Caenorhabditis elegans: one gene and its partners. The protein of the gene in region 3 purifies or fractionates together with the protein of the main gene of each other region. This does not show direct contact. Each region holds a gene or a part of one and is shown on either strand. Other genes may lie near its edges.

Region 1 (8,738 bases), on a different chromosome or scaffold from region 3:
CCACGTATTGCTCCTCTTCTTTTTTTTTAAATTTATCTCTGCAAACGTGCTCAATTGTTAATTTTCGATGGAGCCCGTATGCATAAAGACAAAAATCCAAAAAATTTTGATATTTTCATGTTCTGAAGAAAAAAACATAAAATGCGGGTATTCTTCTCTCATTTTTTATTTGTTTTTATTTTTCCTATATTTATTTTATTTTTCATTCTTTCATTTTTGTCTCTCTCTCTTGTGATTTCTCCCTGTATTTTTCCCCCTAGTCTTCTCACTGATTCGGTAGTTTTTTCTCTCAAAAATGTTCCCATTTCGCCACCCCGGTCTAATTATTATAATTGATTATTTGTTCTTTAAAACAAATATGTATAAATAAATCGATTCATTGGAGAACAAATGCATCCATTTAAATGGAAAAAAATATGGTATCAGGAAAGCCGCATGGCCTAGATTCTTACAATTTCTAGGCCACTTGTGCATTTTCACGGCTGTGGAAAAACATCGGATGAAATGGATGGAAAACTAGAAACACGATTTGGGGGCTCGATTTGAAAATTAAAACATATTGAACAAAAATCACGGAGAGAAATGTGAGATATTTGATTGGGTCGGTTGAAGTTCCGAACATTAAATTAAAGCCAAATTAACTCAAAAAAAAAACAAAAGAATGAGATTAAGCAGTATGATTGGAAATCAATCAATTCTGACGATACTGCTGCTGCGGGTATTGTGGAGGATAATATGCAAATGCACCACCTGAAACTTTGAATATTGAAAATCTAATTTTTAAATAAAAATCTAAAATTAGTGGATTGTGTTTTTCAATTGTATTTAAAAGATTGCATACAGGATACTCAGCTTCATTTAACAAAAACATTACCGTCACAAAATTCTAGTTAAAGTTCATCGAATCAGCCGTATAATGCAGACAAATATAACTTACTAGACTAAAGCACAAGCAGGATTCTGTTAAAAATTGTAAATCGTGGATATGGGTAAAAGATGCACATAAATCAAATGAACTAGACGGCACAAAAAATACAATTCATGCATTAATTCCGTGAGCCACGTGGATTGCGCATAGTGACTCCTGAGTGATCGATCATCAGGTGTCCATTTACCAAAAGTCGAGATGCATTTGCTTGTATTTCAGCCATGGAAAGAATTCGTGGTGGTTGGATGTTATTGGTGTCACCTGAAAGTGAGGCCAAACCAAGTAAGGGAAATAAATATATATTTGCATGCAGGATGGTTGCAATTACACAACAAGTTTACTCGCTATTAACTGAAGATCGTGAAGTGATTGTTTTGATGTTTAAACATAATATACAAAAACTTTGTAAGGTGTACAAAAAATTACCGTTTGACATTTGCTGTTGAGCATAAAAAGACGGAGACATGATTTGTGGTGACTGCTGCTGCTGTTGTTGCTGCTGAAGATGGTGCTGCTGCATATGAACCATTTGATTGTTTCGCCCTATGAGCCCGTTTTGCATTTGGAAGTGTGGTGCCTGGTTTATCATTGGCTGAAAACGAGAGTTCAATTTTTAAAAAATTTTGAAAAATATTTGTTAAGTTTATAATTCCAGACGTAAAACTAGTGCATTTTTTTCAATTCGACAGAATTCTAGTGCAGTGGACAATCATCTAAGTATCTTATCCAATTAATAGGGGCTTGAACAAAGAAAAAAAAGAGATTAAAACAGGATTTTTTTGTTCTGTCGTTATGAAAAAATATCACTAGAGTATTAGTGCGTGTGGTAGACTATTAACACGTGCTGGCATACCGAATATCCGTATTGTGATGTAGGTGTTTGAGATCCTGAAGAGGGATTCATATAAGATGATTGAGCAAAATTCAATGGATGTGTCGTATGGTGAAGTTGAACAAGCGGAGATGATTGTGTTGATGAATTTGCTGACTGCTGCAACAAACAGACAGTTTAGTGAGTGTGGACAGGGAGAAGCAGATGTTAGTTTAACAATATCATATAATAATATAATCAAATATATAATTCAATCTTTGTATTAGTTTTGGTTAAAAACGGATAAGTTATAACTAGAATACTGATTTCAGTCAAATTAAGAACAAATCCTCTTAAAACTATGGAAAATAACTAACAATATTGGCTCTTTTGAAGATTTGTGTTTTTCTGAACTTACTTCTCCTATTTTGTTCAGCGCATCCCGGATAGTTTTACTTGCACCCTCGTTCATTCCCATTTGCGTTGAGGCCATTCCAGATGGAGATGAGCCAACTGGCATTTGATTCTGTTGAGACATCTGACGCATTGGAAGATTTGCACTTGCAGCTACTGGACGAGGTGGTGTATCATCGAGAGTAATAATCTCTATGTCATCGTCTTTCGTCTTCTTTTTCTGCTGTGGTGGTGTCTTTTGAGCAGCCAATTCTGCGGAAGCTGAAATAAGATTTGAATTTCAAGTGAATACTTTTAATTGATATTGCTAGAAACTGCAATATTCTCAGCTTGTCTCACACCACGCCATTTGAATAGCAAACCTGTGTGTCTGCCAGGAGAGAAGCTGTCGTTCAGAGAGTTCATTATACCTCTGTTCAATTCCTCATCATCGTCATCACTCAAGGTAATTATGTCGTCGTCAGCTGGTTTTTTCTTCGCTGCTTCATTTGCAAGTCCATTGCCATTTGTCGAAGAGCATGACGCTGTACCGTTAACAGTAGCAGGTACAACGTCATCGTCGTCATCATCTGAGATGCAAAAAGCTTCTTCCTTGATAACATCGTACGAGCCATCTTCCTTAAGTTCAACTTCCGTCGTATTCTTATCCACCTTTGCAAGCATATCGAGGAAATAACTGAAAGATGAAACAATATTTGCATAGTCTCAGAACATTGCTTTTTATTTTGATATTTGAATATTTCTTAAATAAAATGTTGAATTGGGTAACGTCTAAGCAGTTTCTCAGGCATTTCCGTGACTAAAAAGTATTTTCCAATTAAGAAAACGAGCGAATAGTGCGAACAGACAGCTTCACACAAAACTGCATGAAGTTAGCCATCGAATTTGTTGTTTGTCCATGATGCACTGTTCACAATATGAATCTGGATCATGGTAAACATAAGAGTGAGAACACTATTTGGATTATTAATTGATTGAGAATTATTTACAGGGATTTTGAATTTCTGAATAATAATAATTTTCAATTACACATTAAAACTCTTGCTCAATTATGATGATTGACCTTTGCCATTTGTTTCATGTTCTCTTACGTCATGAGCTGAATTTTGAGTTGGAGACCAATACGAACTACTGATAATAATCGTAGACTATATTTGCAAATACATGCCTATTTTAGACGACGCGTTTCCGAATTTCCTAATCACCGTTTCATCATGGCTATTTTAAGGGTGTTGTCCATCGCTATAGATAACAATTGTGTTTGGAAAAATAATAGTGTCTTCACAAGAATTGGAAATTTCGAAGTGAGGGAACGGTATCTAAGAGTTAATAGAAAAATAATGAAAACATAGAATTGAGATAATTCGCTTTTTTTTAAAATCAAAGTTAGTCAGTGTGAATTGAAAACTTACTCATCAACAATAAGTCTATCATATGGGCAGTTACTCGAGCAAACAGGGCACTGCCACGTTGGTTTCTTCTCGTTCATCATCAAATATGAGAGGAGATCAAAACATTGCAAATGGGTACAATCTTGGCATCTAGAAGGCGTTGTCATTCTTGTCTTGCACAGTGGATCAAGAAGACTGATATTAAGACGATCCATAGCAATATCATCTTCACCTCCAGACAGTTTCTTGATCACTTCTTGCTTGGTAACCTCAAGTGATCGATGTCTTGATACATTCTGATTAAGACGTTTAAAGAGAATATCCGAGTTAACACGATGAACGAAATAAACTCCAGCTGCCCATACACGTTTGTCGGCTAACCATTCGACTGCAACTGTGTGCTCTTTCTTGTATCTATTCATGTTTGAAGTGATATTCACTGGACGAGATGGTCGTTTCGGCTCAGCATTTGTCTTATTTGTTGGGATTACATTCTGAAATTTGAAGAAATAGTAACTCCTAACAATAATTGATATTTTGAAATTAAATATATTTCGTGAACGTTTCAAATCTCATACCGGCAATTGAACGACAGAATCATCAACACGTGCGTAGCAATTGAGTGGAAAGTCGTCTTTTTGAGGACCCTGAACTGGTTCAGTAAGATTGAAGAACCTGAAAACAAGGATTTAAACCGATTTCAATGATAATAAAACGTACCTCAACTGCAATTCATATCGTGGAAGAGGTGTAACATCAGCTCGATACGAAATCTTGGAGATGTGCTCAGCAGTCAATAAGAACGGGAATTGTAACTGAAATTAGTAATTAATAGGTAACCGGCTTGGAGAGCGAGTAAATTGAGACCAACCTGTTTTGTTTGCTTCAAAGTTGGACTGTCTGATGAATGCAGCTCGACAGGCTTCAGCAAAACAGAAATAACATCGTAGAATGGAAGTGGAAGCGGTTCAAAATTATCAGCATACATTTTTTTCGGCTGAAAAAAAAATACATGGGTTAGACATGTGGGAATGTAAGAAAGAGACGCTGAAAGCAATTTTCAGGTGATAACATTGAACTCGTGTGAGCGAACTGTATAACACATGCCGCGCAATTTCTAATGATGCCTGCTTTTTGGTAGTAAAAAAACACTTTTACATGCTACTACGAACTAATTGGAAATAAAACTATTTGAAAATTGAGCACGGCAATATGAAGAAATGCCTAGAGAGGATTATCATATTAAGCTTTTCTTCATGAACATGCTCCTAAGAATGCCATACTGTAATATCTTAAAACCACACTTGTTCTAGTTTTTACGCCATTCGGAATCATGCAGAAAATTTCGTGATAACAGCGTGCAAATCTTGGAGCTTCGAATTTTTCTTTCTTTTTTTTGAATGCTACACGCAATTCAAAAAAGTGCATTCAATAAACGGTAGGACATTTGTTTGCATAATGTATCACGATTGAGGAATTTTCAAATAACCGCGACTGGCCAATATGATATATGTGCCCAGAAGAAGCTACCAGTGTAATTTTTTCAGGTAAATTTTCCGTTACGGTCATAAACCGAAAGTATATCTTCACATGCTTTCCGCCTCGATATTCTTGCGTTCATTCTTATCGTGAATTTCAGGCAATAAAAATGCGGCGAAAATGTTCACCCTATTTGATTTTTCCGACTTCTGCAAACTTTGCTGAGAAGAACGTCCATGATTAGGAAAAGATGAATGGAGCGGCGCGTTGGTAGCAGCAGCAGCAGCGGGAGCGCCGTATCTCATCGAGCCCCTCAGTTGCTCTTCGAGCAGTTCAGGAGTTAGCCATCTCACCGTCGACGGATGGTGCTGCTGTTGCAGATGTGAATGATGTGACGCCATCATTTGTTGATGAAGTAGATTGTGAGGCTGTGGTTGTTGTTGTTGTTGCTGCTGATAATGATGATTGACCAAGTGATTACTAGCTCCAGATCGAGATGGCAGCACATATGGATGAGACCGAACTTGGGATGTTGTTGCAGGTCGCTTCTGCATCTGACATTTTTTAATTTAGTTATTAAAACAGAAACGATTTACAAACAATTTTTTAGGCTCTAACTTTAAATATGTGGAATATTTTAGACAATTAGAACATTTGCAAAAATACATTTGGGAATAAAAAACAAAGCGGAAGAGATTTTTTGAACGTTTGTTTCTCAATAGAGCGCACATGTCATCAGGAGAGGTGCTTGCGAAGAAATGATATATATTGATAAACCTAGCCGTTTTTTTGGAGTTTTGATAACAGGACTTTCTTAAAATTTAGTAAAATTTCAATAATAAGCCAACTAAAAATTCGATTGATTTAAATAGTTACGCGCATTCGAATCAACTGTTGTGAAATAACAACAAAAAAAAAAACGATTCCCAGTTTCTCACGAGCGACATCGTGCCAATTCGCTTCCATATCGATTTTTCAAAGTGAAACAATTATTAAAAAACTCAAATACCTCTTTAGGAGTGAAAATTTGAATTTGATTTTCAAAAAAGTGTGACAGTATTCAAAAGAATCAATCTAGTAAAATAAAAATTGTAATGAAAAACTACGCGCCAAGCTACACGTATGAAACATGGAAAGAAGGTCAGGGCAAAGTACAACTAAGAAATTTTCGAAGATCCACTGCTTTTGAGGTTTTTAACACCTTATTACGGGCGAAAGTCCCGTTGCCGGAGCTGCGAGGAAGCAAGTGCAGAATGGATGAAATATTTGAGGAAACTTAGAGAAACAAAGGGCTACATATATGGTGGGTATGAGGATGCTAGTGGAGATAAATGCGAGACTTATTGTGTGAGTAAAGAGACAATACTAGGTGAATGAATAATTTCCTCCGAGGTAGAACACTGGTAAACGTTACCCAAAGTACCTCACACATCTATTTAATCAAAGTTGACATAGTTTTTTTTTAACTGAAAGTATTTAACTTTTTCATACTTACCTCATAATTTCCGTTCGGGAAATTGGAAGCCTGTAAACTCGAGAAAATTAATGCTGTAAAACATCATTTAAAAAAAAACATAAATAAAATAACGAGAAAAACAAATGACCATTTGATAAATTTGCCGAGCATGATGAGGATCACGCAAGGATTCAACGACGACCTTCTGATGCTCCGATTTTTGTGGACGTGGCTTTCGAAGTGACAATTGCGAGATAATCGACTGAAATTCATAAATTCTTGATTCACATCGCCTTCTCGTTGAGGTATTGAACAATAAAGATTGATTAAAAACGGTATCTAACCTGAAGATCGTGTACTCTCAATTTCATGACGGCTGCCTGAAAATTTGGAATCCATCAGTTTTACTTTTTGAAAAATAACAGATTGGAACAGAAAAATCCTTGGGTAAAATACAAGAATTTTAAACTATTTAATAAATGTCAATAATTTTCCAATAACTCACGTGTGCTGCCATATTTTCCTGATGTGTTAATCCATTGTTTATAGGTATTTGCCATTGATTATTCGGTAACATATTGATTTCAATACCTCCGATCCTCCGCTGTGTCTCGAAACGACGGAAAAATATAAAACTGCAGATTCGGAAAAGGGATATTAAGGCGAATTTGAATGGTCCAGTAGTGAAAATATCACAAACAAAAAGTAGAAAAATGTGATCTTTTCTATTCCCTAAAAAGCGTTTCGAAAAGCGCGGTTCCGTGTGGATTTCCCAATTTTGGAAGTTAATGGACCAAAATCGCGCAAAAAACACGGGCACACCTGATGAATCAGTTTTGCAAAATCCTGCAAAAAATATTTCAACGTACTCACGTTAACTCATTCAGGAAATCAATGAGATCAATGTGTACGATAGGTTTGTGCCCGTGACAAAGGATCAGCAATTTTCAGAAGAGGCGCCAGAAAATTTGTGTTTTTGAATTTGCGCAATACAATTTTCAATCCACACAGACTTTTTTTGTATTATTTTCAATCCAAAAACCAAATCCAAAAAAAAAAACTTGGCGGCGCTATAAAGTGCGTCGTGATCTCCTTTCAAATCACTATATAAAAATTCACAGACTTTGTGAAAATATGAATAAATAAATAAAAAGAGAACCACAAAGGGTCGGCGTTGTTAACCGTTCCAAAGAAAATGAGAGAAAAAAATAGAACTTTAAAAAAATGTTATCGACTTTTTTTCAACCAAAAAAAACATGAGGTAAAAATAGACACTATTCGAAAAAAAAAGTAAACCGCAGAAAAAAACGAACGAAACTATCGATATCAGATCTAGAAAAAAGAAAATGGAGAAAAGGTGGAGAAACACAAAAAATGAATGAAGTGGGGCTTACTCGTACAAAATGACCATTTTTCTGCGAATTTTTTCACAGTTCTCCAACTTTCTCGTACTTTCTTTTCGCCTCGTGTTCTGTTTAGCGTCTGTACCAAAGTTGAGCTTCTCGCTTACGCTTGATCTTCTTTTGAAGTTGGAGAACTCCGTATAGAAGAGCCTGGAATAATTTTTTATATTAAAATTATTTTCTTTATTAGACGAAACATATTTTCAGAAAAGACTGCAGGCTAGGAATATTTTTAAAGCTATTCAGATAATTTCACTAATTTAAAATGTATTAGAAATTCGCTGATACAGTCAGAATGTGATAAAGTATTTCGAAGAGCTAAAGATTTAAACAAAACACCAAGTTGTTGTTGCATTAGATACGGCAAAATATTCATTAGTGAATGCTTGAGAAACTAAGCAGAAATAGAGAAATAAAGACTCAATGGTATGCAAGAGAGCGTAGACAACACAAGACTTTCGCGCCAATTCGATCAATAATTGAGTACACATGCACCCACGTATTTTCGAAATATTTACAATCGGTCGTGGAGCGCGATTACATCATGCCGTCCTTAGCCCACCATTCTTAAATTGGGAAATTTTTTTCAAAAATCTTTTTCGGAAAAACCCGAAAAAAACAGTTTTGATAATGATGGGGTGTCGAGATTATAGTGAGGTACATATTATGACGTCATAGAATTATTAAAATTCATTTTTGAACATAGCAACACGCTTTTCTTGGAATATTTTCAGACATTAACTGAAACAAATTGTTACTCAATTAATGGAAAATGAGCCTGCACGAGATCTGGACACTCATTATCCTTAATTGAGCAGTCAGATTTTGAGTGCGTTTTTTGTGTAACAGGTGGACC
Region 2 (4,319 bases), on a different chromosome or scaffold from region 3:
TTTGTTTTTCAGAAACTTTAGTATCAGCAAAAAAACAGTCAATAAACAGAGAACTCAAACAAAAATAGCTTTAAACTAACTGAAATGAGCACTTTAATGATGGGAATAACGGCCAAACAAAATGCGCACATTGCGAGCGTTCGCATTGTGCCCATCGGCGAGGCATTATGCTCGTTTCTGCGAACGCTTCGCAAAAACGCACATAATGTGAGGTCCTCGTTCGCAAACACGCGCATAATGGGTCTTGAGGCATTATGCGTCCGTGGCGAATCACCTGTGCATTGAGGGGAGTTGAACTTGTCCGTCGCTTGTCGTTGAGTCTATGAACCATTATCTTACCTGTTGAGCCATCCTGTACGTGTCGCATCTAGATTTAGTTATTGCTTAAGTAAATAGTTGATGGGCGCACGTCCTTTTCGTTACTTTTGATGGGAAATCAGTGACTTTTCGCAAATTTTCTAAGTGTCAGAGCGAAATTGGATAACTTTCTTTGAAAGCGAATGTGGAAAAACGATTTATTTGTTATGCTTTTAAAAATGTTAGAATTGCAATTTTTCCGAATTTTTGTCAAAGAGAGAATAACATTTTATTTTTTCAATATTTTATTTCGCTAACAATTTGATTAAAATGATGAGTATACTGGGAACATGCTTGCTGTTGACAATATTTTATGATTTCAATTGAAATCAGAAAATCTCAAACGCATCACGCGTGAATGAATAGTTGTAAGTCTACTTTAATATATTCGACCAATCTTCGTGATTGTTTGACTGAATTTATAATATGACCGGCCAATTATCTAGAAAAAATTACATGAGTGGACAGATTTGTGAATTCTGTGGCTTTCTCTGCAAAAACTCCTTCTACAATATGCAACGAAAAATCAAATATCCGTTAACAGTGAGATACTCCATTATATAGATTTTCATGTAGCTGTTTTTTACTTTGAAAAGTCTTTCATCATTTGGAAGAAAAGAGAATTTAGAACGGAACAGTAATCATAATTGTTGTATATATATCACGATCATGTGAAGCCGATGGGAATTTGGAAATGATGTTTTGTAATCTTTATGGACTGCAAAAAGATTGCAAATTAATCTTAGAATATTACACATTTTTTTGTAATATTTTTAGATTTCAGAAAGATTGCGAACCAATCTCAAAAGATTGCTATGTCATCTCAAAATATTACGAATTTTTCGTAATATTTTCAGATTCAGAAATATTGCGAATCAACCTCAAAATATTGCTCAATCTAAAAAGATTTCGAATAAGTCTCGGAATATTGCGATTTTATCTTGAAATATCACCCAACTACAAAAATATTGCTATTTAATATTTTCATATTAGATTTGAGTTGCCTGAGTTCCAGCAATTTTAGAAAAAAAATTTATTTTTCAACTTCCTCTTGAACTTCGGCTATCAAAATAAAAGTTTTTTCAAGCTTATCTTTTTTTTGGAATTTTATACAGTTTATCAAAAAATAAATGTTTAAAAATTCGCTTGAAAAACTTGATATTCTGATTTTAAACTTAATTTAAATTAAGATGCTTTGAAAATCAAAGCCAATAAGCCAGTTGATAAATGGATATATATTTTAAGAAATAAAAAATTTATTTGCAGAATTTATGAGATCTAGAAAATTAGGCATTCAAACAACGACAAAAAACATTATTTCTAATCCGAAACATTTCCAACAATATACGAAAGAACGCAATCCTCATTGTGAAAATTGAATTCTGCCATTCGATTTGAGATGATATCTGGAAAATTTTTTTTTTGTTAAAAATTATCAAAATATTTCCGATCCTACTCATTTTGGCACGTGTCCGAGTGTTGGCGAAACTTTGAAACAATGGAGAAATATTTCGAATCATTAATTGAACTTTTGCAGTATCCTCTTGACTATCGGTTTCCGATGGATTAGTTTGAAGATCCGAGAAGCTTACATCAATCTCGCCAGTTTCAATTTTCGTAGAAATCCTCAAATCTCCTGATGTACTGGCTGTGAGCTTCTGGATGAAATTAACTTATATTTCAGGACTTTATTTGTGTATATATTATTACCACAACTCGAGTGTTCATATTTTTGAAGACGTGTAAGAAACGGGACATCATTTTAGGAGGTGGCATGCTGATTGACATCTGTAAATATATTTTTTCAATAGAGATTAAAAAAATTAATGTAAAGTTATAATTATCATCATAAAATCGTTTACTTTTCTGTGTCCAATTGACGGCCTGGAGTACGAATTCCAATATTTTGATAGAATAATTGTGATTGGAATTTGATGAGAAACAATATCGGCTTCTGGATTTCTAACTTCGACAGACAACATTGGCTCATCTTTTTGACTTTTCGATAGTTTCAGTTTCAGATAACAGTGTCCGCCGGGCAGAACACGTACTAAACTATCGATTTCCAATTCAAAATAAATCAAATTTTGCTCTTCGTTTCGTGGATTCATGCCAACCATATCGAATTTTCGGAAAATTTGACTGCTATAGGGAATTGATAAACTGAACCAACTTCCACCATCATGGAGTCCTGAACAGCAAATAAAGTTGAGAGCTGAAAGTTCATAGAATTTTATTAATAAAACAGGATTTTTAAAACCATTCTTTTCTATTTTGACGCAGCATCTTTTCTTACTCAATTTGCTCACTGATGTCAAAATTTCTGAAAGACAATTTTTTCAGATATTTCATAGATTTTTTAATAATCAGTCTGCTCACTGATAAACACGTCGATTGCCGCAGTATCTTGGAGAAGAGAACTGAACTTCATTGTTTGAAACCTAGAAAATAGTGAAAATTAGTTAGAAAGAGAAGGAGACGGAGAATGAAAAAGGGAAAATCGCGCGCGATGGAAGAAATTTGAAAAAAGACTTTACTTTTGATATTTTTCGAAATTTTTTAAAATAATTATGTTTAGAGTTAAAATTGCAAGGAAAAATGAAACAAAAATTAGTTTAAAAATAAAAACCACCGTATCTCTTTCCCTGCGAAACCAATTCACCGTATTATTGTATGTGCCTTTAATCTTTAACAGTAAGCATAACATGTGATTTTCGCCTTCTTTTTATTAAAATCTAAATTATTACAGAACTTTTAAATAATTTGATTATATTCTTTGTTTAATTTTTAATCATTTAAATTCAATTTAGAAATGCTAAAAATCCCAAAACAATGAGACACTATTTCCCTGCAGGACCATTTTACAGAAATACTGTATGCACCTTTAATTTCTTTTCAAAAGTAAGCGGCCTTTCTGTCGAATCATTTTTCGTTGATGAACTCTTTTTTCTTCACTTTTACTCTATATTATCACAAAAATTCGAATTTTTCAGCGAAAAAATCGAAAATGAGTGGAGGAAAAGACGAAGCCAGCGACAAAGCGCTCCTAAAAATCCTAAAATCTAAATCACCGAACACAATTGCCATTTTCTCACGAGGCGAATACTTTTCTGTGTATGGCGATGACGCCACCTTTGTCGCTACTAACATTTTCAAGAGTGATGTTTGCGTCAAAACGTTCACTTTATCAAGTAAGACTCGAAAAATCAAAATAAAATCTGTAAATGTGAAATTTCAGCCGACAATTCTCAACAAATGAAGTACATTTCCGTAAATCGTGGACAATACGAGAAGGTCGTTCGTGAAACCATCGTACTGCTCAGATGCTCCGTTGAGCTATACTCGAGTGAACAGGGAGAGTGGAAAATGACGAAGCGTGGATCTCCAGGAAATACTGTGGATTTTGAGCAAGAAATTGGAGTGTCAGATCAGGCTCCGATTCTTGCAATCTATATTCATCCAGGAGATGATGATGTATGACGATTTTTATAGATTTTTAGATTTAGAGATTTATAGATTTTTAGATTTTTAAATTAATTCCCAATTTCAGAATCGAGTAACATTGTGCGCTTGGGATGCTGGAAATGTTCGCATTGTGATCAGTGAATACATCGATACTCCTTCTTTTTCTCAAACGGAACAATGCATTTTTGGACTATGCCCCACAGAATATATTCTAGTGAATGAAGGATCAGTTGCACCGAAGGCTAAGAAAATAGCAAGCATGTTCACGAGAATGGAGGTTCACAACAAGCAACAGCTGAAGCCAAAGTCACAATGGAGCGATGTAATCGAGTCGGTTCATCTGGATTATAAAGATGAAGCCGAAAAACAAAACGAAAACATCAAGGAATGCCTTCAAATTCTACACTCGAACGCAGCCGATGAATACAGTATTTCTGAGAAGTATAGTATTTTCAATTACGGAACTCATGGAAATATGCTGATTGATTCATGTGCTG
Region 3 (9,153 bases):
CCAGTACACTAAATGGTACATGATAGACAGTGTACATTTACAGATTTATAGATTGTCTCAGTGACTAGTTACCGGAAGAGGAGAGGAGAACATGTGGCGATGTCTTTTGGATCGATATTATTCCGTCTGAAAATTGTTCACTAGGGGGACTGCCGATTACCACTTCACATGACGGAACATGTTAGTTAAAATATTGGCTTTTATACACATTTTCAAAATAGCACCTGTATTAGAATATTCAAGAAAAACCTATTCCATGTTATTGCTCCACGAGCAGAAATGCGATACACTGTGTTGCATTCGTAAGTGTTTACCATAAATGTTACCTTATTAATATCAAATAGATAAGAAAAAGCATGTAGAAGATATAATCACGTGTGTCAATCGACCTTCTCCACCCATTTTTGATTGTTTAGATGGTTAGGTACCCGCTAAAAAAAGAATAATATAAAAAGGAAAAGACGAACAATTTGATTGATAATTCATTTGATTGTTGAGAAGAACTAGAAGAATGGACAAATCGACCAAAGATTTTATGGATTTGAAGAAGATTGGTGGTGACGATGAAAGGGAGCGACGTTTCAGTGATGGTTTGTTCTTTTTTAAATGAAAACTATATGTTGATTAATTGCTGTATTAACCCTGAGAATTTACCCAGATTTTTGTCAAAAATACAGTGCCCGGTCTCGATACGACAAATGTTTGTGAATGGTGTGTACCTTTGAAGAGTACTGTAGATTGTCAACAAAAGAAAATATGTTTTACAATTAAATTTCAACAAAATAGAAAAATCAATGAAAATTCCGCAGAAACACAAGTTTCTAACTACAATACTCTTTAAAGTCGCACACCTTTTCGAATTGAACAAATGTTTGTCGTTTCGAGACCGGACGCCTTAGTTTGGTGTAAAAATCGTAAGGTTTTGCGTCTCGGTAATATATTTCAGGTAATTTTCCCCTCTAAAGTTATTGATATTATAAAAATTTTCAGCATCTGATACATCAATGGATTGTCACATGGAATCTATCGGAAGTCGTCGCCGTGACAGTTTAATCGAACAATTCCGCGATTTTTTGAACCGATCAATGGATTTTAGTGTCAAGATTGATGATCCATTTGAAAAAGAAATGTATTAAAATTATATCGTTTTCTTGTTGATTTTTGTAATTTTATATGTTGAAATTGTAATTTTTTGTTTCTGTAAATAAATGTACTTATATTGATTCGAAAATTTTAGATTTAACAGTTTTAGTTTCACTTCCGTATTTAGAAACATGGATTTTTGAATCGAGACTTTGGAGAACGATAGAAGCAATAAAATATTATAAAACACAACACACATGGAATATTCGTTTAAACAGAACGAGAGATTCAACAATTAAAGTCAAACAACAATGGCATTATTTTATTGCTAACTAAAAAGAGATAATTGAGAATTGTTATCTTAGATATGAAACGCTAGGATATACTAACACACAGAAACTAAATTTGATGTTTGAAAGCGAAGGAGATTTAGATTTTTCGAGAAATTTTCTTAAAATTTCGCACAAGCTGATTTGGAATACTGGAAGGTTAAGGGAAATATTTGAAGATTGAACGGTTTTAGAAGGAAAATGCATATATAATATTGATGGCGGCTTTACCATCGAGAGCCTCGATCATCTCGATTGCCACGATATGACGAACGGGAATGATGATTGGAAGACGAAGAATTATATTCGGAACGACGAGAAGATCCTTCAGTTGTTTCAGAATTGTTGTTGTAGTTATTTCGACTAACAAATGGAGAATTGAAACGATTCGATGATGAATGTCCCCGTTGGTTTCGTTGATGGAATGAACGATTGCTGTAGTTACGAGGGTTACTGTAGTCATTTCGAGACCATCTTTCATCGTAGTTTCTGTTGGAAGAACGTTCACGTGATGTCGATCTTCTTGAGCTACTGAAATTAGAAATTATATATTGTAATGATGGTTAAAACTGATCTGATTTTGAATTTAACTGCTTAAAAATTAAAACGTTTATAATTTTTTAATGATTTTTTTTCCATATCTTACTATCGTAATAAATATAAATGAAAATTAAATTAAATTAAAGATGGGCTAATTATTTTTAAATTCCCTGGCTGAACAAATGTTTTTCAGTATAAAAAATATTTAATATGAAGATGAGTTTTTCAATTTTTAGGCCAAAATAAATTCACTAAAACTTCAAAACTGACTTAAAAACAGTTTCACCGTTATAAATAATTTTTTCGCGGAAAACGAGCTGAAAACGTTAAACTAGGCAATTCATTAACGCGAGAATTTGAAAATAATTAGCCCATCTTTTTTTAATTTTGCAAAATTGATAGGAAACATCAAAAGTTGTTTTTTTTTAATTTTCAGATATTTCGTAAAAACTCACACATTTTCATTATATTTATTCTCCAAAACGTTTGTCGCACTGAGAATTCGAGTTGGAAGCAGTGATGCAATTGGCGGATTCATTGGATCTGGAGATGTAGCTGGTGGTGGAACAATTGGCTCATATGGTGAGAAGATTGATGGAATTGGAATTGATGGTAGAGTACTGAAAATAATAAAATAATATGGAGTACTGAATCTTTCCAAAAACGGGCAATTTTCAAAAAATTTCAAAAAACTTTCAAAAGGAATTAATATGTAACCTTACGGGAGAAAAATATTAATCTAAACTATTTACGTAAGAAAAAAACATCAAAACGAAATATTCAAAAAGGTTCAATTTCATCAGTTCTTATTTTTAATCATTTCACTCATCTGTTCGATTATCATTTTTCAATAAATCGAACTGTAATAGTGAGTTTATTTTTTTCGTCTATCGTTTCCGTTGAAGAACAATTTCCGCACACTTCCAGGCACGTGTGTAGTAGTTCAAAAATGTGTGTCACAAAGTGTAAGCAGAAGAAGAAAATGAAATCGGCGAAGAAGAATCTATCGACTCCTGGTACTGGTGGAAGTGTTAATCCCGAAATGAAGTCAATTTCACATTCGACAACAGCTCAATCGGGAGAGAAGGGAGCAAGCAAAATGGCAAAAGTTCCGTCCAAGGAGGTAAGAGAGGGATGGAAATATTATTAGAAGGGCGCAGATAAAAGTGGTGTTTGGCGGCGAAACCGTAAATTTAAAAAAAAATTCAGTTAGTTTCGCCAATTCTCAAGAGTTTTCAGGCATTTATTATTGGAAAATGACTTTTTTCAGAAGAGCAAGGGACCAAGGCAAAGTGATCGTGATGCAAAGGATGAACACAACGAGGCGGTGTCTCAACTCAAGAAGATTGCCGAAAAAGCTTCAGAAATGTCACATGGACCATCTGTAGCTCCACCAAGAAAACTGTAAGCACAATAATAACTAATTTCCCAATCATTCTCATTACAGTGACGCGAAACGCACTGTGACCGGAATGAAGGAAAGCAAAGATCCCGAGTATGTGACGCTGGATGACGATTTTCCGAAATTCGAGAAAGCAATACTGAAGGGCAACTCTAAAGAGGTGAGGAGTATTTATTTTTAGACTAATCTAAATATTTTCTTATTTTCCCAGGCTACGGAAACTCGAAAACTTGAGATAACGCAACAATTGTCTGTTGATGAAAAGAAGATTGCAGGAAGCAGCGAGAAAACTACTTAAAAACGAATAAAGCTTAATCTATGCAATTTTTACCTGTTATTTTCCTCTTTCGGTTGCTCTTCCTCTGTTTCTTCTTTAACTGGAATCTCATTTATTTCCATTGTAACATCATTCATAAGCACGTCTTCCACATCAATGATCTCTGGCTTTATTCTGACGATCTGCGACAGTTTTTGAGCAACTTCCGTATTGAATTGATGACATATGTATATGACGTCTTGCGGGAAATCATCGGTTCCACCAGTTTCGGAAACTTCTCCCGTAGCCACCGACGCTGCTTCTTCATGTTCTGAATCAGAATCGGACGACGAAGATCGGTTCGCATTGTATTGAGGAGCACGGCGAGTTTTCTGAAAATGTGTTTTGTAAGAATTGAAAAATTAAATTTCAATTAAAAAAAAATTTGGATGTCACTCTTGGTCGTGATGACTCCCGTAGATAATTTTTCTAAAAACTTACGTTAACGTCTCTCACTCGAACATCTGTGTCAAACGAGCGATCGACAGGAGCGCGGTTAACAGAATCCGACTTCTCCTGAATCTCATAATTACCCAGAAAACTTTAATAATTCAACAAACCCCAACTACAGTCTTATTCTCAATTGCTTCTAATCGAGACCACGGAAAGCATTTATTGATCATCTCGTTTATCATAGCATTTCGACGGCGACGAACTTGTTGAAATGTTGCATTTTTGTACACTGCCATGCTCGCTTTGTGTGTCTGGAATTCTTTGATTTTTTTTGTCAATTTCCTAGCTTTATTATAAATTAAATAAATAAAACTATACATCTTTCATATGAGAACTCAAATCACACTGTCTTCTGAATCCTTTTTCACATTCTCCAACTGGACATGTTAGCGGTGGAAGACTCGTCGTGTGCAGCTTCTCGATATGCTCTCGGCGCATATTTTTTCGAACTTCAGCACCAGTCATGCAAAGTTGACAAGCAAGATCCGAATTTGGGAGATCTGGATACGATCGATCCATCTGAAACTCATTTTTTCTTAATTTAAAAACTGCAACCTAGTTAGGATAAATGTAGATACAGGGTCAAAACTTATAATTTCAGTATGATAATCAATTAATTCAAATTAAAAATTAATATAACAGTGTGGGGGAAATGTTCATTCGATCTGAATATGATATTTATTTTTGAGAAAAAAACTCGAAAATTATCTCAAAAAGTGCAGGAAAGTCACCGTCAGGGCTGTAGATTTTTCGTTTTTTGTTTCGAAAAAAATAAGAATAATTCTTTTTTTTTCCTTCTCGAATTCAGATTTGCCTCAAAATGAAATATCATATTCCTTTTTTAAATTTGTTTTTGTAGATTTGCTGCACAGCCTTGTTCTCAATTTAATTTGTTTTCCTGTACATACCGCAGTTTTCAGCAAATCATCATAATCTTCTGGTGCTACATCAGCTGCCATGTGGGAACGAGTCACGTGTCCTTTTCGGAGAACTGTAAGATAAAAACTAAATTCGAATTTAGAGATTTCAAAAACTCACTAAAATCATAAACTATTTCTTCATTACAAACCGCACATTTCACTTTTGCAGCATCTCGTCTCTCTGGAACATTTGGATCAAACCATCCAATTAGTTTATCAATCGCTGACATTTCATCGTAATTTGCATTTTTTCCAGCTTTCTCTTGATTTTGAGCTGCTGTCATTGACTCGTTTCTTTTCTTCCTCGGTTTCTTTGTTTTATCAATAGATATATTATGTTCACTGGTTGTTGAATCAACTATAGCTTGAGCTGAACTTGATGAAGCTGGCTGAGCTGATGTTGAGGAGGCGTTGGGGCAGAGTGAGCTGAATATATCATTTTTAAAACGAGGGCTTTGTCGGAATCTAGGCATTGTTAAAATTGTATTTAGTGAATAAATACCTCTCAGAATTATTTGTTCTTCTATTTAAAAATGCAAATGGTGAAGTCGTAGAAGTTCCCGATTTTGCCTTTTTTGGCACTGGAGGAGATGTTGGAGTTACGACGGAACTTCTTTTATTCTTTGCACTATCAGTAGGAGTCTTTTTAACAGGTGAAGTCGGTGACACTGATCTCGGATCTCTTCCCCATCGCTTCTCAAGCACAGTTTCCATATCGTCAGTCGCTAGGGCGTATGCGTCTTCCACAACAACCGATATCATTTTGTCAATGTATGGGTTTACTGTCTTCTGAAGAAAAAAAACAATATTTTTAATTGTAGAAAATCGTCTCAAAACCTGAAAAGAGCGCTTGTGTCCGTGTTTCGAGCAATGAGCATTGAGCTCCTGTTGTGTGTAGAATCCCATATCACATGTGCTCTCTCCGCATGCATATCTCCTAAAATTATATATGAATTTAATAATAGAAATAACATTTAAAATCCTCACTTGTACTTAAAATGTTTGTAGAAGTGTGCGCCTTCCTCTTTCAGCGTTTCGCAGCACAATGGACACACTAATTGGTTCATATCTTAAAAATACGATTTCATAATTTAATCTCTGGCTGTGATTCAGATGATTGATCGGAAAAAGCGTATTAACTTGAATGATATGATTTGAATGATATTATCCAGCTTGAATGAGTAAAATTTATGTCTTCAGGAGTTTTTTCTCCATGTGGATCCACAAAGAAGACAAAATTAAATACCTTGTATGCTCACATTTTAAAAAAAGTAACAACTTTAGAAAAGTATTACCAGAGCCTTACCAATTGTGTTCTTGCCCATGGAAACTGATTAGAAAAACGAATGCGGGATAAAAATTAAGCCGTCAGAATTCACAAGTTCACTGCAAGAAGATGGGTGTGATATCACTTTACTCAATAAATATTTAAAGTGGAAACAATAAATGAAACTCTGTGACTGAGATACGTGAAGCGTTCACAAACTGGAAGAGGAATAATCGGGATAGAGAAAAATGAATAAAGAATTAAATTAGAGAAATTCAAATTGTATTTTTAATGAAACAATTGGGACTTGAGGAGTTGCTTAAGCTCTCGTTCCGTTCTTTCCTTCCTCCTCTTCGTTGTCTTCGAGATCTGGCATATCTGAAAATTTTTTATAATAAATAACATTTTAATACTACATTGGTTTTCTATCATTAACGAATTACTAATAGTAAGCAAAAAGGATATTATTGCACTTAATACTTACCGTCATCTTCCTCATCATCCTCAAGACCTCCGAAGTCTGCTCCGCCAGCTCCTCCCATCTGGGACATGTACTGGTTCAAATCGAATCCGTTCGCCATTCCACCGCCAATTCCGGCTCCGGCATCCTCAGCCTCATCATCCTCGTCTTCATCCTTCCATTTTCCAAAGTCAACCTTCAACCAATGGACCTTTCCCTTGTTTTGAAGAAGTCTTGGCCACCAGGCTGGGGTCTTCTTCTGAACTGTGATCTCAACGACGCGGGTTGAAGATCCAGTGTGCTTTACGGATGCAGGATCGATTTCGTCGAAGAATTCGAGAGTTGCTTCGTACTTGTCAGTTTTGCTGCTTCCTCTGAAAATTTACGAATTACGACTCATTCTATGTACCATCATGAACATTCTGTGAATATTTAGGAAGCAAGAAATATGCTTCATATCGTATTTAAACATTTAAAATAGAAATCGAAATATTAATCCGAAACGTACTGGAAGTGAAGCTTGTTTCCCTCTCCTTTCAGTTCCTCGATTTTCGCCTCATCAACCTCGATGGTCAGATAGACAAGTGATTCACGCTGGGCCCAGAGAACTGTTGGTTGCTTAGCCATGGTTTTTGCCTGTAATTCGAAAAGAGAACTAGACGGATACGAACAATAATCAATAAAATTCAAGGAAGGTGCACGACATATAAATAAGCGCACAGTTGAAATTAGCATGATTATGCAAATTGACGAAAATAAAGCCATCAGATGAAAATGTTTTCATATCACGGCAATAACAAGCAAGAATTGTCCACTTAATTTCTTTTTTCGATTGATTTTTCTCTTACAACCTTTTTCTCCTAAATACAAGGACTATTGGCCAAAATCGATATATTTTAAGTGCGAATGGCATTGAATATAAACGTAAATGGATTAGAAATATAAAGTCGCGAATGTTCTTCAGGAAAATTGCCATGGAAACGCATAATGAAGATGATAAAACGGCAGAAATTCAAATAATTCGAGAGAGTTCCCAAATCGCGGCGAGACCCAGTGGTGAAAGTGCGCGCGCCTTTGAACGAACACGTCTCCATTTACGAGGTTTTGGCTCATTTCAGCTTAATTTTAAATCGTTCAATGAACATTTTTTGATGGAAATATGGAAGCAATGGATTTTCTGAAGAAAAATTTGAATCGTGTTGACTTCCACAGCGTATAGTTGTTAATTTATTGTTTTATGCGTCTAAAATTGTTCAGAAACAAAAATGCAGTGTTCTATTTTCAGATGGTCAGCTTCTCATGGGTATCAAGGTCGTTACACCATCCTCAAGGGAAACGAGGACTAATTTCCACATTAATATGCCTGGCGTGTGTTGGAATTTTGGCATATTGCGTATCAACGAGCCACTCGATAGGTAATTGTTGTATTTGAGTGCAAAAATAATAGTTTTTTGTTCAGTTCTAATGTCAACTCTTTGGATTACGATTTTTTCGTTTTGCTCCCAATTCGCGTCTCTGTATTCCATGTCGATAACCGAAAAACCAACGCATAAATTTAGTTACGGATTAGCCAGAGTACCGGTTTTGGCAGTCTTTAGTACTACCGTGAGTTTTTGAAACACTAAATATTAAAAATGTATTCCAATTGGAATCAGTATTTTTGAGATTAAAAATAACCTTCTTCAGGTGTTGGCTCAACTATTTTCCATCTTTTTATCGAAGGAATCATTCGAGCACTTGTTATCCCCTGATCACCATGGTTCTCATGATGCTTCAGCGGCTCACGAACATGAAGTAGAAGAAATCGGCGGCTGGCCATATTTTGTTGGTTCTGCTGCATCTTCAGTGGCGCTGCTTCTCTCAGCATACGCTCTTAAAAATCAACCGTTTCAACATGTTCTTCAATCAGCAACGGCTTCAAGTTTGCAAGAGCATGCAGCTGATTTGTCCCATGCTGTGTGCTGGGTTATTCCTGGCCTTTCGCGTCTTCTTCTGCCAAGAATCAATTCAATGGTATTGTTAGCCTTGACGACTACTGGACTGAACTTGTTATGTGAACATTTCAAGTGAGTTTAGCTATCATACACCTCATTTGAAACATAATTTTGGCCTATAAATTACCGTTTTACGGCTATGACCTTCAATAAATCAGACAATTAAAAAAATTATATAAAATTTCTCATTTCTAGGCACGACTTCGCATGGGCTGATCCAGTATGCTGTCTGCTGCTCTCTGTTGCTGTGTTCTCAACGATGTATCCACTATCAACATATACTGGAATGATTCTACTTCAAACAACTCCTCCGCACTTGATTAATCAAATTGATCGGTGTATTTCTGAAGCTTCTCACATAGACGGTGTTCTTGAGTTGAAGAGTGGAC

The links. The genes of interacting proteins can lie anywhere in the genome.
Region 1: the proteins of ztf-8 (region 3) and gei-17 purify together in Caenorhabditis elegans (affinity purification with mass spectrometry, with the first as the bait; one study listed by BioGRID). This does not show direct contact.
Region 2: the proteins of ztf-8 (region 3) and hus-1 purify together in Caenorhabditis elegans (affinity purification with mass spectrometry, with the first as the bait; one study listed by BioGRID). This does not show direct contact.

The regions. Positions count from the first base shown.
Region 1 is NC_003279.8:9,100,484-9,109,221, forward strand, and holds gei-17 (E3 SUMO-protein ligase gei-17), read right to left. Parts: upstream 7,100-8,738; 5' UTR 7,057-7,099; coding exon 6,985-7,056; intron 6,860-6,984; coding exon 6,824-6,859; intron 6,742-6,823; coding exon 6,628-6,741; intron 6,549-6,627; coding exon 6,519-6,548; exon of another isoform or gene 6,505-6,518; intron 6,215-6,504; exon of another isoform or gene 6,117-6,214; intron 5,837-6,116; exon of another isoform or gene 5,624-5,836; intron 5,578-5,623; coding exon 5,212-5,577; intron 4,542-5,211; coding exon 4,416-4,541; intron 4,360-4,415; coding exon 4,265-4,359; intron 4,220-4,264; coding exon 4,123-4,219; intron 4,039-4,122; coding exon 3,566-4,038; intron 2,830-3,565; coding exon 2,516-2,829; intron 2,415-2,515; coding exon 2,158-2,414; intron 1,920-2,157; coding exon 1,782-1,919; intron 1,521-1,781; coding exon 1,355-1,520; intron 1,190-1,354; coding exon of another isoform or gene 1,047-1,189; exon of another isoform or gene 840-1,046; intron 751-839; coding exon 692-750; 3' UTR 363-691; downstream 1-362. Other genes in the region: nduf-7 (putative NADH dehydrogenase [ubiquinone] iron-sulfur protein 7, mitochondrial), read right to left, coding at 7,955-8,032. UniProt on the Caenorhabditis elegans protein: Functions as an E3-type smo-1 ligase. Mediates smo-1 conjugation to air-2 in vitro and is required for proper chromosome alignment.
Region 2 is NC_003279.8:3,696,581-3,700,899, reverse strand, and holds hus-1 (Checkpoint protein), read right to left. Parts: upstream 2,799-4,319; 5' UTR 2,789-2,798; coding exon 2,737-2,788; intron 2,681-2,736; coding exon 2,618-2,680; intron 2,573-2,617; coding exon 2,220-2,572; intron 2,146-2,219; coding exon 2,068-2,145; intron 2,016-2,067; coding exon 1,814-2,015; intron 1,764-1,813; coding exon 1,678-1,763; 3' UTR 1,600-1,677; downstream 1-1,599. Other genes in the region: msh-2 (DNA mismatch repair proteins mutS family domain-containing protein), read left to right, coding at 3,365-3,548, 3,596-3,831, 3,908-4,319.
Region 3 is NC_003281.10:5,267,360-5,276,512, forward strand, and holds ztf-8 (C2H2-type domain-containing protein), read right to left. Parts: upstream 6,113-9,153; 5' UTR 6,111-6,112; coding exon 6,031-6,110; intron 5,981-6,030; coding exon 5,881-5,980; intron 5,833-5,880; coding exon 5,546-5,832; intron 5,470-5,545; coding exon 5,162-5,469; intron 5,115-5,161; coding exon 5,032-5,114; intron 4,643-5,031; coding exon 4,442-4,642; intron 4,375-4,441; coding exon 4,231-4,374; intron 4,187-4,230; coding exon 4,112-4,186; intron 4,003-4,111; coding exon 3,686-4,002; intron 3,677-3,685; exon of another isoform or gene 3,653-3,676; coding exon of another isoform or gene 3,566-3,652; intron 3,515-3,565; coding exon of another isoform or gene 3,400-3,514; intron 3,357-3,399; coding exon of another isoform or gene 3,223-3,356; intron 3,076-3,222; coding exon of another isoform or gene 2,902-3,075; exon of another isoform or gene 2,880-2,901; intron 2,821-2,879; exon of another isoform or gene 2,767-2,820; intron 2,573-2,766; coding exon 2,408-2,572; intron 1,944-2,407; coding exon 1,640-1,943; 3' UTR 1,396-1,639; downstream 1-1,395. Other genes in the region: ZC395.5 (Ovule protein), read left to right, coding at 512-590, 991-1,136; ZC395.4 (uncharacterized protein), read left to right, coding at 2,902-3,075, 3,223-3,356, 3,400-3,514, 3,566-3,652; Co-chaperone protein daf-41, read right to left, coding at 6,630-6,688, 6,795-7,144, 7,279-7,397; toc-1 (similar to Transporter Of divalent Cations), read left to right, coding at 7,930-7,983, 8,056-8,185, 8,230-8,375, 8,457-8,836, 8,960-9,153.